Xenopus tropicalis: one gene and its partners. The protein of the gene in region 1 interacts with the protein of each later gene in a biochemical or structural test. Links are inferred from orthologs where the notes say so. Each region holds a gene or a part of one and is shown in the gene's direction. Other genes may lie near its edges.

Evidence for each region.
Region 2: the proteins of snap25 (region 1) and stx3 form a complex in vitro, tested with the Homo sapiens proteins (2 studies listed by BioGRID). The link is inferred for Xenopus tropicalis from reciprocal best matches to the Homo sapiens genes SNAP25 and STX3.
Region 3: the proteins of snap25 (region 1) and cplx1 are reported together in a solved structure, tested with the Homo sapiens proteins (2 studies listed by BioGRID, with this or other methods). The link is inferred for Xenopus tropicalis from reciprocal best matches to the Homo sapiens genes SNAP25 and CPLX1.

What each region holds. Positions count from the first base shown.
Region 1 is NC_030681.2:26,715,444-26,719,098, forward strand, and holds part of snap25 (synaptosomal-associated protein 25), read left to right. Parts: intron 1-2,593; coding exon of another isoform or gene 2,594-2,711; intron 2,712-2,845; coding exon 2,846-2,963; intron 2,964-3,655.
Region 2 is NC_030683.2:60,545,864-60,549,518, reverse strand, and holds part of stx3 (syntaxin-3), read left to right. Parts: intron 1-1,346; coding exon 1,347-1,414; intron 1,415-2,575; coding exon 2,576-2,684; intron 2,685-3,655. UniProt on the Homo sapiens protein: Potentially involved in docking of synaptic vesicles at presynaptic active zones. Apical receptor involved in membrane fusion of apical vesicles.
Region 3 is NC_030677.2:110,343,487-110,347,937, forward strand, and holds the start of cplx1 (complexin-1), read left to right. Parts: upstream 1-1,496; 5' UTR 1,497-1,542; intron 1,543-3,179; 5' UTR 3,180-3,259; coding exon 3,260-3,290; intron 3,291-4,451. UniProt on the Homo sapiens protein: Positively regulates a late step in exocytosis of various cytoplasmic vesicles, such as synaptic vesicles and other secretory vesicles.

The sequences.
Region 1 (3,655 bases):
TTATTGGAGACTACTTTTTACTTTATTTCAACTAAATATAGAATATTTGTGTTTAGTTTTGGAGTATTTGGATTATAAATGACAGAAATAATTATTTGCCAGAATTGCCTTCGTACCTTTAGAAGTTTTGGCTTTGACACCTTCCTGTATTTAACATTAGCAGATCTTGGACAAGAGCTGAAAAATTGCACTGAAACCCAGATAAATGGAAGCAGATGTTCTATATTTAAAGCTGCAGGCGAATATCCCCAGACATATGTGCTGTGCTTTTAAAATGAGCCCTAACTGCTACTTTTGCTGTTGCTTGTCAGCATTTACCGATTTTATGCTTCGTTGCAGTCCTTTATAATTATTTACCAGAATTAGATAACCTATTTTGAATTTGTCATTTAATTTCATGGCTCGTAAAATGGCAGTGCTGGCTGCTGAGCAATACTTTGGTCCTATTTTAAGTGACGTATTTAGGGCATGTGTGGTTTTTGTCATTTGATGTTTCTGCTATTTCTAATGCAGTCTTTCTGAACATGCCTTGCATACATTTGTGCTAAAATTCAACTTAGCATCTGTCATTCTCTTATTTTTAATGCCATTGGGGTTGTTAAAGTCCTAGTTATATAGTTATTATACGTAGCAGCTCAGAATAAAAAAGATACATGTCCATCAAGTTCAACCTGTTGGCCAACTCTGAGGGAAAAAATCCTCTGATGATATGATCATTTAGCATCAGAAGGTGAACAAATTCCCTCTTCAGTCTTGATACGGTATATTTTTCACAAAAATAGGCAGCCAATCTTATCCGGACATATTGCTTTGGATTAGTTGTGCATTCTCTCTGGAAATGGGAAACATTGCGTGACAAAAGCCACATTCTTCTAATGAAAAGGGAAGCAGATATCCTCCTTAAAGGACTAGTAATGTTAAACTCACTGGGAGGGAGGACCAAATGTTAAACACCCCCAGTGATTATAAAAGCTTACCTAATACCCCTGGGGCAATACTCCTGTTAGCATAAAACTGCACCGGCCTGGGGTACTTCTGTATTTAGTGATCTTCTTCTTCCGCTTCTTTATTCTTCTGTTGCCCCAGGCTGACACATGTGCAGTCAAAAAGCAAGTTCAGCTTTACACTCTATTGTACATACACACCTTCCATAACTTAGCAAAGAAGATCATAATGTGGAGGGGTTGCTTTCCTTTTCCTTTAATCTTTTCTTCTACAATGTAAACAATCCCAACTTGGCCAACCTTTCGTCACAACTGAGATCCCCTATTATATTTATATTGTTGCCCATCTCTGTACTCTCTTTAGTCCTATAATGTCCTTTTTTATACTGGAGTCCAAAACTGTATTGCATACTCTAGAATGGCCTTACATTTCATAACAATCTATTTTCCATTTTAATGAAATATAAATATGGTAAGGTGAAGTGCTATTTTGTCCTATAATCTTCACATTTTCCTTCAAGCTACCCTTTAAATGGGTACAGAAAGACATTTTTGAAAGATTCATAGACTATTGGCCTTTTGCTTTTCTCTTTAATTTAAAACAATGTGAAGATTCATTTAAATAGCAATTAACATCACAGAATGAATTGATTTTGTTTTTATTGCATAATTAATAGAGAAGTTACAGAGAATCAAGACCCACTAATAGTATCTATCCATGGGCAGTGTCCTAGTGATACTATGGAGATCTATAACTTCACCATAACCCACTAATCATATTATAGGAACTGTATAATAAAGGTATAAGAAGGTAAAGGGAACTCATTTAGGTTTAGGTTATAACAAGATCTTTGTTTGCTCTTTTGATCTGTCCGAGTTGACAGATTGCCCCACCAGGATACCAGGAAAACTCCTGGTGGGCCCAGGTGTCAGTGGGCTCTCTTGCTTCTAACTGTTTGACCAATTGCATGGTCCATTCCATATTTCTGTATGGGAAACAGAGAAGGATAGAGAAAAGAGACTTGGACAATAAAGGTGAGGGGGGAGAGGAGGAATGGTAGTTTAGAAAGTGGGCCTATGGTCCAAGGTTTTCTGCTGGGCCCCTGGGGTCTCAGTCCGACACTGAAAGCATTGTTACAACAAGATACCAGTGTCGATATAATCTTTATGTTGGTAATGACTTATAAAATCAACATGAAGCCTCAAGTTACGATAATAACCTTTCCAGCGTATTAATAAAAACAACTAACTACTTGATTTCTCTTCTAGGAAATTAATGCTTTTTTTTAAAAAAAAATCAATCCATGGGCAGTTCTTTATGTAGATGTTGTTAAATGTGTTTGTCATTATAATTGTTTTTAGCCTTTAGCCAGAAAGCAGACTATCCATACATCATCCCTCCATGTTAAAGGAACTCCTTGAAAGCCACCACAGATCATATTTTCGCCTCCCTCCCAGATTTTGTTCTTTTCGAAACATTTTTTCCCATTTAAAGGCATCCCAGATCTACATCTTCTTGAACAGCAATGCATCATTCCCAGTAATGCATTGAGATACCGTTACAGTTCCGTTAAACATAGTCCTTTATCATGTTCTGTTGAAGACAAATTTAAATTCATTCCACACTGTCATCCCTTTGTCCTGACCAGAACAACTTGATCGTGTTGAAGAAGGCATGAACCATATCAACCAAGACATGAAGGAGGCTGAGAAAAATTTAAAAGATTTAGGGAAATGCTGTGGCCTTTTCATATGTCCTTGTAACAAGTAGGTACTGGGTACCCACTCTGCTCTGTGGTGTCCAGTTTTTGTCACAGTGAATGTCTGAAGTTTTTGTCTTTCTTCTTTGTCCTTTTCCATCTGCTTCATTCTGTGGGGATATAATGCTTGTATTTAATCAGAACAACTGGAACGCATCGAGGAGGGAATGGAACAAATCAATAAGGACATGAAAGAAGCAGAAAAGAATTTGACGGACCTAGGAAAATTCTGTGGTCTTTGTGTCTGTCCATGTAACAAGTAGGTGCTGCCTGCCTAAGTCTTTGAGCACCCAAGGCTGATATTCTTGCCTTGCAAAGATCATCCCTGCTAGGCACATGGGCAGGATGAGCATGTGGCATGCAGAGAGATCAGTAGTTATGCATTCATCTCATAGAATATGCAACTCGACGAGGACTAGACATATTAAAATCAGGCATACTGCAGTGAGAGTTGCATAGCTCCCTCCTAATGACCTACACAAATTTCAACATTTCTTAAACTGGTGTACAAATTATCTATATTTCATTCTATCTATGGAATAGATGTAAAGCAAAATGCAAAAAAAATTATATTTGGATTATCCGAAACCTTGTTCTTTAACAAATTTGTATCCTTTACCTTTATTTTGTCACAATATTTTTCAGTTTAATGCATAGGTATATTTGTTGACATAGTGCACTAATGGAAATGTTGAAATGTGATCATTCTATAGTCCTTGCATGACAGCAACTCTCAAAGCTGTTTTGGACTTTTCCTAATTACATTATAATTGGTTTGCTTTTAATGAATAGCATATTCAGTCCAAATACCATAAAAATAAACTTTGGACAATGAATAGACTTTATTGTAATGCACACTTTGATTTCAAGTATGTTTTTATAGCACCCCTAGTAAATGCATGCATTGCCCTTTTCCCTTTTTAAAAATATATTTTATCAATAGCTTTTCTT
Region 2 (3,655 bases), on another chromosome or scaffold:
AACTGTCCGGGACAGTTCTGCCCCACTTCTTTAGTTAGGTTTTAGTTCTCCTTTAATGGTGCTCATACCACAGGTAATATCTCAGATAAAATTACCTTGGAGGTCCTCGCCCTCAATTTTTATTTTTTTTAAACATTTTATTGAAGTTTTGCAATAAACATATAGGATGAATAATGACAAATTATTTAAATATAGGTTGTACAACAATAGTCACATTCGACAGTTTGTCCTTCAAAAAGATAAGAATGAAGAAAATAGAATGCTTACAGAGAAACAAAATAAGTAATTTAAATATAGAAAAACAAAACAAAAACAAATTAACTTACTTTGCCCAGTGGATAAACTAAAAAAAGAAACAAAAAGTTTCCTAGAGAGCAAAATCAAGGATAATTTTGCTTATATGTTCGTGAATTATTGAAATAAATCTATATATGCAGCATTTTATAAATCTGATCTTTATTCACCCTCAATTTTTTTCACTTAGTTTTTTAAAATCTTCTTGAGGTCCTCTCTCCTCCTCTAACTATGTAATTGGTACCTAGGTGTACCATGTGTACCATGACCACTGGGTCTTTCCCAGCCCCCACAATAATTTGTTTACTCATTCTACCACATGTCGAACCTTAGCACCAGGCAAGCAGCAGACAGTTCAGCAAATATCATCTATATACAAAATTGTTCTTGAGGACCTCCCCCCTGCTCTAACTATGTAATTGGTATCTATGTATACCATGACCACTGGGTCTTTCCCAGCCCCTCACAATAATCTGTTTACTCTTTCTACCACATGTCGAACCTTAGCACCAGGCAAGCAGCAGACTGTTCAGCAAATATCATCTATACACAAAATTGTCCTTGAGGTCCTCCCCCCTCCACTAACTATGTAATTGGTACCTATGTGTACCATGACCACTGGGTCTTTTCCAGCCCCTCACAATAATCTGTCTACTCGTTCCACCACATGCTGAACCTTAGAAGCAGGCAAGCAGCAGACAGTTCGGCAAATAAACAATTCCATGCAACAGAAAAACATTGCAAGTGGTTTTATGTAGAGAAGGAGTCATGCAAAAAAAAGGGAGATAATCTGAGAAAAAAATAAGGGACATTTAATCAGGAATGTATAAGCATACACAGGGTTTGAGGCCCTTATGTGTCAAGTGGTGTTTCTAAAGACTGAGCTCTACTATATTTAAATATTAAATCATTTCTTATACATAATGAAAAAATACTGATGCACATCAGGACCTTTTTTAGGTTTTGTCCTCACCAGGGACTTACACACACATATATATATATATATATATATTTATTTTTTTTACAAAATGTTCTCTTACCTCCAATTTCAGCAATGGAACAATCCATTGAACAGGATGATATGCAGTCCTCAACAGACCTTCGAATACGAAAATCTCAGGTTGGATATAACTTTGTTTGGCATAGATTATTCAAACTACAGAACTGAGGATAGATACATGGCTTTATGTTATTGTGTAAACAGGAGTTTATTGCATAGTACAGGATAATGGAATTATAATCTTTACATATGCACATGGTCTAACTAATCCATAGCAACTAATTATATCTTTGCTTTTAAACATATGTAAATATTACCTTATTATATGCTTCTATGAGTTATCACAACTTTGAAACTTTTATAACATTTTGCCTTACAAGTACATACGTAGGCACATTTCTTTGTTGCTGAGGTGCAATCCCCTGAGCTGTGTTTATCGAAAGATGAATATTGCATTAAAGGGGCTGTTAACATTTAGATTGACTTTTAGGGGCTGATTTACTAACCCACGAATCCGACCCGAATTGGAAAAGTTCCGACTTGAAAACGAATATTTTGCGACTTTTTCGTATGTTTTGCGATTTTTTCGGATTCTGTACGAATTTTTCGGATCCATTACGATTTTTGCGTAAAAACGCGAGTTTTTCGTATCCATTACGAAAGTTGCGTAAAAAGTTGCGCATTTTGCGTAGCGTTAAAACTTACGCGAAAAGTTGCGCATTTTTCGTAGCGTTAAAACTTAACGCTACGAAAAATGCGCAACTTTTCGCGTAAGTTTTAACGCTACGCAAATTGCGCAACTTTTTACGCAACTTTCGTAATGGATAGGAAAACTCACGTTTTTACGCAAAAATCGTATTGGATCCGAAAAATTCGTAAAGAATCCGCAAAACATACGAAAAAATCGCAAAGTACCGATCATTACGAAAAAAACGCAATCGGACTCCATTCGACCCGTTCGTGGGTAAGTAAATCAGCCCCTTAGTGTGAAATTTGCAATTGGTCTTCATTTATTATTTCCTGTTTCAGCAGCTCTCCAGTTTGAAATTTCAGCAGCTATCTGGTTGCTTGGGTCCAATTTAACCTTGCAACCAGGCAGTGGTTTGAAAGAAGTATATCAATAGAGAAGGGGCTAAATAGAAAGATGAGAAATAAAAAGAAAGAAATAAAAAGAAGTAGTATTGCATAAAATTCTCAGCTATAAAATGAAATTGCAAAATGCTAGGTTGAAATCTATTTTTACGAAAGAAAAATGTAATGGAGGGTGTCCTTTTTCTACAGCATTCTGTTTTGTCTCGGAAATTTGTGGATGTTATGACTAAATACAATGAAGCTCAGGTGGATTTCAGAGAGAGAAGCAAAGGAAGAATACAACGACAGCTAGAAATTAGTGAGTTGCCATTCTTATACTATGTAATTTTATATAACGCAAATAAGGTAACATCATTTCAAAATATGAGAGTCTTCTTGGGGTTAAAAGTAGTTTGCTGCTGGATTTGCTGCAAAATTCTATATTTTGCTATCGGCAATCTTTTTTTGCGAAACGGGAGCAAAAATTCACTGCACAAAAAAAAGGAAAAAGTCACGGTTGTGGCAAAAAATTGAGCTTGCATCAAATAAATCATGGTTGCGTCAAATAAATCGCGATCGCCTCAAAAAGTTGGGAGGTAAAAGTAACCACATTTCGCAAATTTTTCACTGTTTCTCGAATTTTTCTGCAGTTTTGTGAATTTTTCAGCCAAGCAAAAGGGAACAGATTCGCTCATCCTAGTCATAAGGGGGAAGACTGTAAAGTTAGGTATTAGTGCAATGTGTTTGCTTCACATAGGCTTGAAGGAACAGTAACACCAAAAAATTAAAGTGTATAAAAGAAATTCCAATATAATGTACTGCTGCCCTGCATTGGTACAACTGGTGTGTTTGCCTAAAGAATGCCGCTGTGTAGTCATGGGGGCAGCCATTCAAAGGAGAAAAGGCACAGGCACTTAGCAGATAACAGATAAAACACTATTGTATTCTACAGAGCTTATCTGTTATCTGCTATGTAACCTGTGCCTTTTCTCCCTTTTCCAGCCTGAATGGCTGCCCCCGGGGCTACACACCAGCTTTTTATATATGAACTATAGTAGAGTTACTGTAGCAAACACACAACTTTTACCAGTGCAGGGCAACAGTACATTATATTTCATTTACTTTAAAACCCTTTAATTTTTTTGGTGTTACTGTTCCTTTAACAGAATAAAGAGATGAATGGTGGTAAAGTACCTGGTAAGTCCAAAGCACACTTTCTTATCCCCTTTTATACAATGTTCAAGATCTGCTGGGAAGTACATTTGCAAAATATACCACTGATGCTATATA
Region 3 (4,451 bases), on another chromosome or scaffold:
GCCTTATGGTCACCTGACTGCTACTTGTTGTCCACCAGAAATGAGTGAGAGGGGATACTGACTGGGGCAGCTGATTATGCCCCAGGGGAAAACAGGAGGGGCAGAAGGGCTAAGAGCGGTGGAGTGGGAGTCCGGACAATGTTTCTTGCCAACCGGGGGCTGGCCCAATAAAGTTATACCGCTGGGAAAAAAGGGGCTCATGTATTAATACTCTCTTCTATGACTTTATAGCCTCCGACACTCACTCCCAAGCCTGTGTGTCTGAATGCAAGCTATTGGGGCAATACAAAGGGTGCCCATCTGCCACCCACCACCTGCAGCCAGTCAATAAAGCTCTTCAAGAAGGTGCAATTAACAAAAAACCCGGAGATTTTTACCCCTTTTTTGCTTTGTCCCAAGGTACAAAAGTAAGCCCTATGGTCTAGTACCATTGTTACTGTATAATGTTAAGAATATAAGCTCTTAACAGTACATTTTTTTTAAAAGCCCTGATTATCTTTAGTCCCAGAGCTTTGAATGCTACCAAACCACAGAACACAGATTTTGTCCTTCCTTCTCCTCTATCCTTCCTACACATATACTGTACAGTAAATACAGCCTCTGGTTTCCATTTATAAGAAATGCTCTGAGCATGTCTTTACTGGAAATTCAGTTCACTACAATATGTGTGTCCTGTCCTTGCAGTCTTATTTAAAGATGTACAATTTAATAATTAGCGTTGCCAAATCCAATCAGTCAAATTACAGCTGGGTATCCTGGGACCTGTAGTTCACTATAACTGGGGAACTGGCAGAGCCACTATGCATATTTACTTAGCATTTAAAGATCAGTTTTATATAGAATACATTCGTGAGTATGTGTCTGAGCAGCCATTTAGCTCTATTTTCTTTTCTTTTCAACTCAAAGTACTTTACCTGAGATAGCCTAGCATCACAGAGCTTTTGAAAAATTCTGACCTATTATGTATTTAGGACGATGGCTGTGAAAATGTTTGACTCAGAAAGCAGGAACTGGAGTAGCTCAATAGGGCATACAGTATAAATGCATTACAGTAACCTAGACAGCATCTCTCCTTTGCTTTCATGAATTAGGACCCTGCAGCTCTGCCTGCTAGCCCACAGCCACAAACCCCGCCCAAAAGGCTGTCTGGATACAGAATTTGTCAGTGATAAAAGAGGATGTAGGAAGAAAAAAAAAAAACAAGGTTATACATCCATCTCCTTTTATCTGTCCCTTTAATGGCTACGTGCTTTTTCCCTTTTGCTCCATGTTCTTTTAGCATTCCCATTCGTCTGTCCATGACATGTCTGTCTGCTAATAAGAGAACACAGTGTAAGTTGGTGAAGCAGACTCTTCCCTAAATGCCCTTCAGCAGAGGCTGCAGTTCCTGTTGAGAGCACACATGGACCAGGGGAGGAGGAGACTGTGCTGTAGAAAAAAAATGATACGTTAGGGAAAGGGGGGAGCTTTTCCTTCCATGGTGCAGAGTTGGTACTGAAAGAAGCAGGCAAACTGCAGGATCTCCTTTCTGCTCAAGAGAAGGTACAGGACTGTTATTCTCTATTTATATATAGACCGTTACTGCTAATGTGCTGCCTGCTCTTACACTAAAGCATGTGAGCAGGAGCTGTCCCGGCTTCCCTAGTGCTGAATGTGGCTTTCTTGCCTTCCTTATGAATCAGGAAATTCCCTACAATTTTTTTTTATTTACATCATGCTATTATATGTTGAAAAATATATAACACGGGCTTTGTGTTGCTTCTGGTATTGATGTTTCATGTCACTGCTTTTTCCTTGCTTGCATGGTTTTTTTTTTTTCTTTTATGCTGACACATTTATTTTTTTTTTTCAGAGCACTGTACTGTAGTAGCCCATTGCAGCATGTGTTGTCTTGAAACACTGCCTTTAGATAGATTGTATAGCAGCATGTCTGAGCACTACGCTCTGCACCTACAGTAGGAAGTAGCAGACATGCCACTGAGACAGGACAGTGACTTATGGAAGTTTTATATATTACTGTTGTGAATTCATGATTTGAATGGGAAATGTTGTAGTGGAGTATACAGGCATGGTCAGGGCTGTCCTCTGCTTCACAGAAAATCTTTGAATAACTTTTGTAAATCAAGCAGACATCCATAGTGAACTATGAGCACATATTAAAGCTTACCTTAAATACTGGGGTTTCTTATTGTGATGTTATAGATTATAATTTGCCAGGCTTATGTGTACCAGCAGAGGGAGGTATCAAACTGTGGTAGGTTTAGAAATGACATTTCTTATCACCTGCAGTGCAGGAGTAAGGATACACTAGGATGTCATTTGTTGCAGCCCACTAGATGCAGTGGGGTGGAACATTCTGCTGCAAAAGATATTTTTCCATCTTCTTCAGTCTTAATTTAGCAAATTAACTATAACAACAAATGCCTGTGAAGTAATAGTTATAGTCGCTAACATTTTTCCCTATTGGACTAAACTATGAGAACAGTTCTACAGTGTGCTGCATTGTGGAGTTATGTATAACCTCATGTGTAAATATATGAAATATGATTTCACATCATTTTTAAACTATGCCTAAAGCAAGAAGTTAAAAAAGGAAGTTTTTCTGATGCATGTTTATTTTCCCCTGCATTCATGTAGGACAGTACTGCACGCAGCTAAGAAACTTGACTAGTACACCTCACCTTCAAACGTCCCTTCAGACATTCAGACATTATTATTCTGGCTGGCACAGCAAAGGAGTCAAGCCGATTTCATTATTGAAATGGGTGTGTTAAGGATGTTTTAAGACACAAAAGGGGATGTTACGTGTTATAAAGGTGTTTTGATGAACGTGTATTTTATTGCTTAGCTTCTTCTCTCTCTGTTAATCACTTAGTGCTGAGTCTATTTTGTCCTAAAAGTTTAACAGAGCATCATTCATAAAGCTGATTTTTTACCAGTGCATAATATGACCTCAGTTTGAAGGTCAGCATAATCTCTATTAGTTCTTTTCTTTCCTATATGAGCCTTAAAGCAGAATTATTTGCTTTCATAGCAAAGCTTTCTGTTTACTTGGATCATCACAGGAGGAATCTCAGATTATTGCAATGTTTACAGCAGCCTTCCTATCTGATACTGCAAATCTGACAGTCAGTTTTATTTACATATAATATTTACCATATTTAATATGTTTGTTATAGGATAGAATTCAAGAGTTCCCTGCTTATCTTGCATGTAATATACTAAATAAGCTGAGTGGAAGGAATCAAAAGCCATCAATATGGATTTTGTTATGAAGCAAGCTTTGGGAGGTAAGTCCAGTCATCTGATGTTCATAATGTTAAGTGTTTGTATGTGATTCCTAAATACAATGCGTCAATTGGATGTGCTCCTCCCTTTTTCTTCTATACCACTGCACCACCATGGAAACCCCCCCAGTGTGGGTGTCTAGGTCAAAAGCAAAGAGTTGATGAGGTGAATGTAATTAAGAAATTATATGCCCAAAACACAATTAAATGGTGGAAATGGGAAATAAATAAGCTTACATTTTTGTTTATGTTGTTTCAGTATACAGACCTTTTCATTTTGTATATACACATTTCATATTATTCTTATGTATATTACTGTTATTGAGACAGTGTTAAAGTCACTCATGTTTCATTAGTGTGTCTATACAGCAATAAGTGGTGCAGTTGTTGGTAAGAAGGAACACTGCATGATGAATAGAAAACAAACAGGATAACTCTCATTAATAGTAAAGAGGTCAGGTTACAGTATATTAAAGTTGTTATAATGTAATAGTTTTATTGCATGTATGAAATCATTAATTTGAATAGAAATGTCTGGGTGCATGCCAAATGCAATATTACTTTAAAGCCTGTTAATATCCATGTTTAAGGTGCCTGTCAAACGTTTAATTGAGTTATACCTTGATGTGTTTTGATGTAACAGTGGATATGACATTCTACGGGCAAGTGTCTGTCAAACACAGATTTTTCCAGTAAAGAAATATATGAGGCCATCATTGTGCTATATAGGTAGTTTATAATTTGGGAAATTGTGTATTTGCTATTCCACTGGGGTAATTAGTACCTACATGTCTGCCAGGATCACCAGCACATTCCTGGGCAAATTGTTTTAGCATCTGCAAGAGTGGAACTGATTTTTCCACGTCTAGTTCAGTGCACAGGGTACTCTTGTGCATTGCAGCTTTTTGCATATATCAAACAGTGTTTTGCATGGATCTTTTAAAGCAGCTATGATAAATGAACTGATAGGGATCTGCTGACTGCAGGGGAAAAAAGAAAAAAAAAACATTCATGTAGGACCTGCAAGAGGAATGAATAGATTACACAGACTTTAGATAAAACCATTTGTCATGCCCTTCACCTAGAACACTGCTATATCAATAAAGAAAATGATTAAAACTCAGTGAACTGTGTTTAAAATGATTTTTTATTTCAATTGATTTA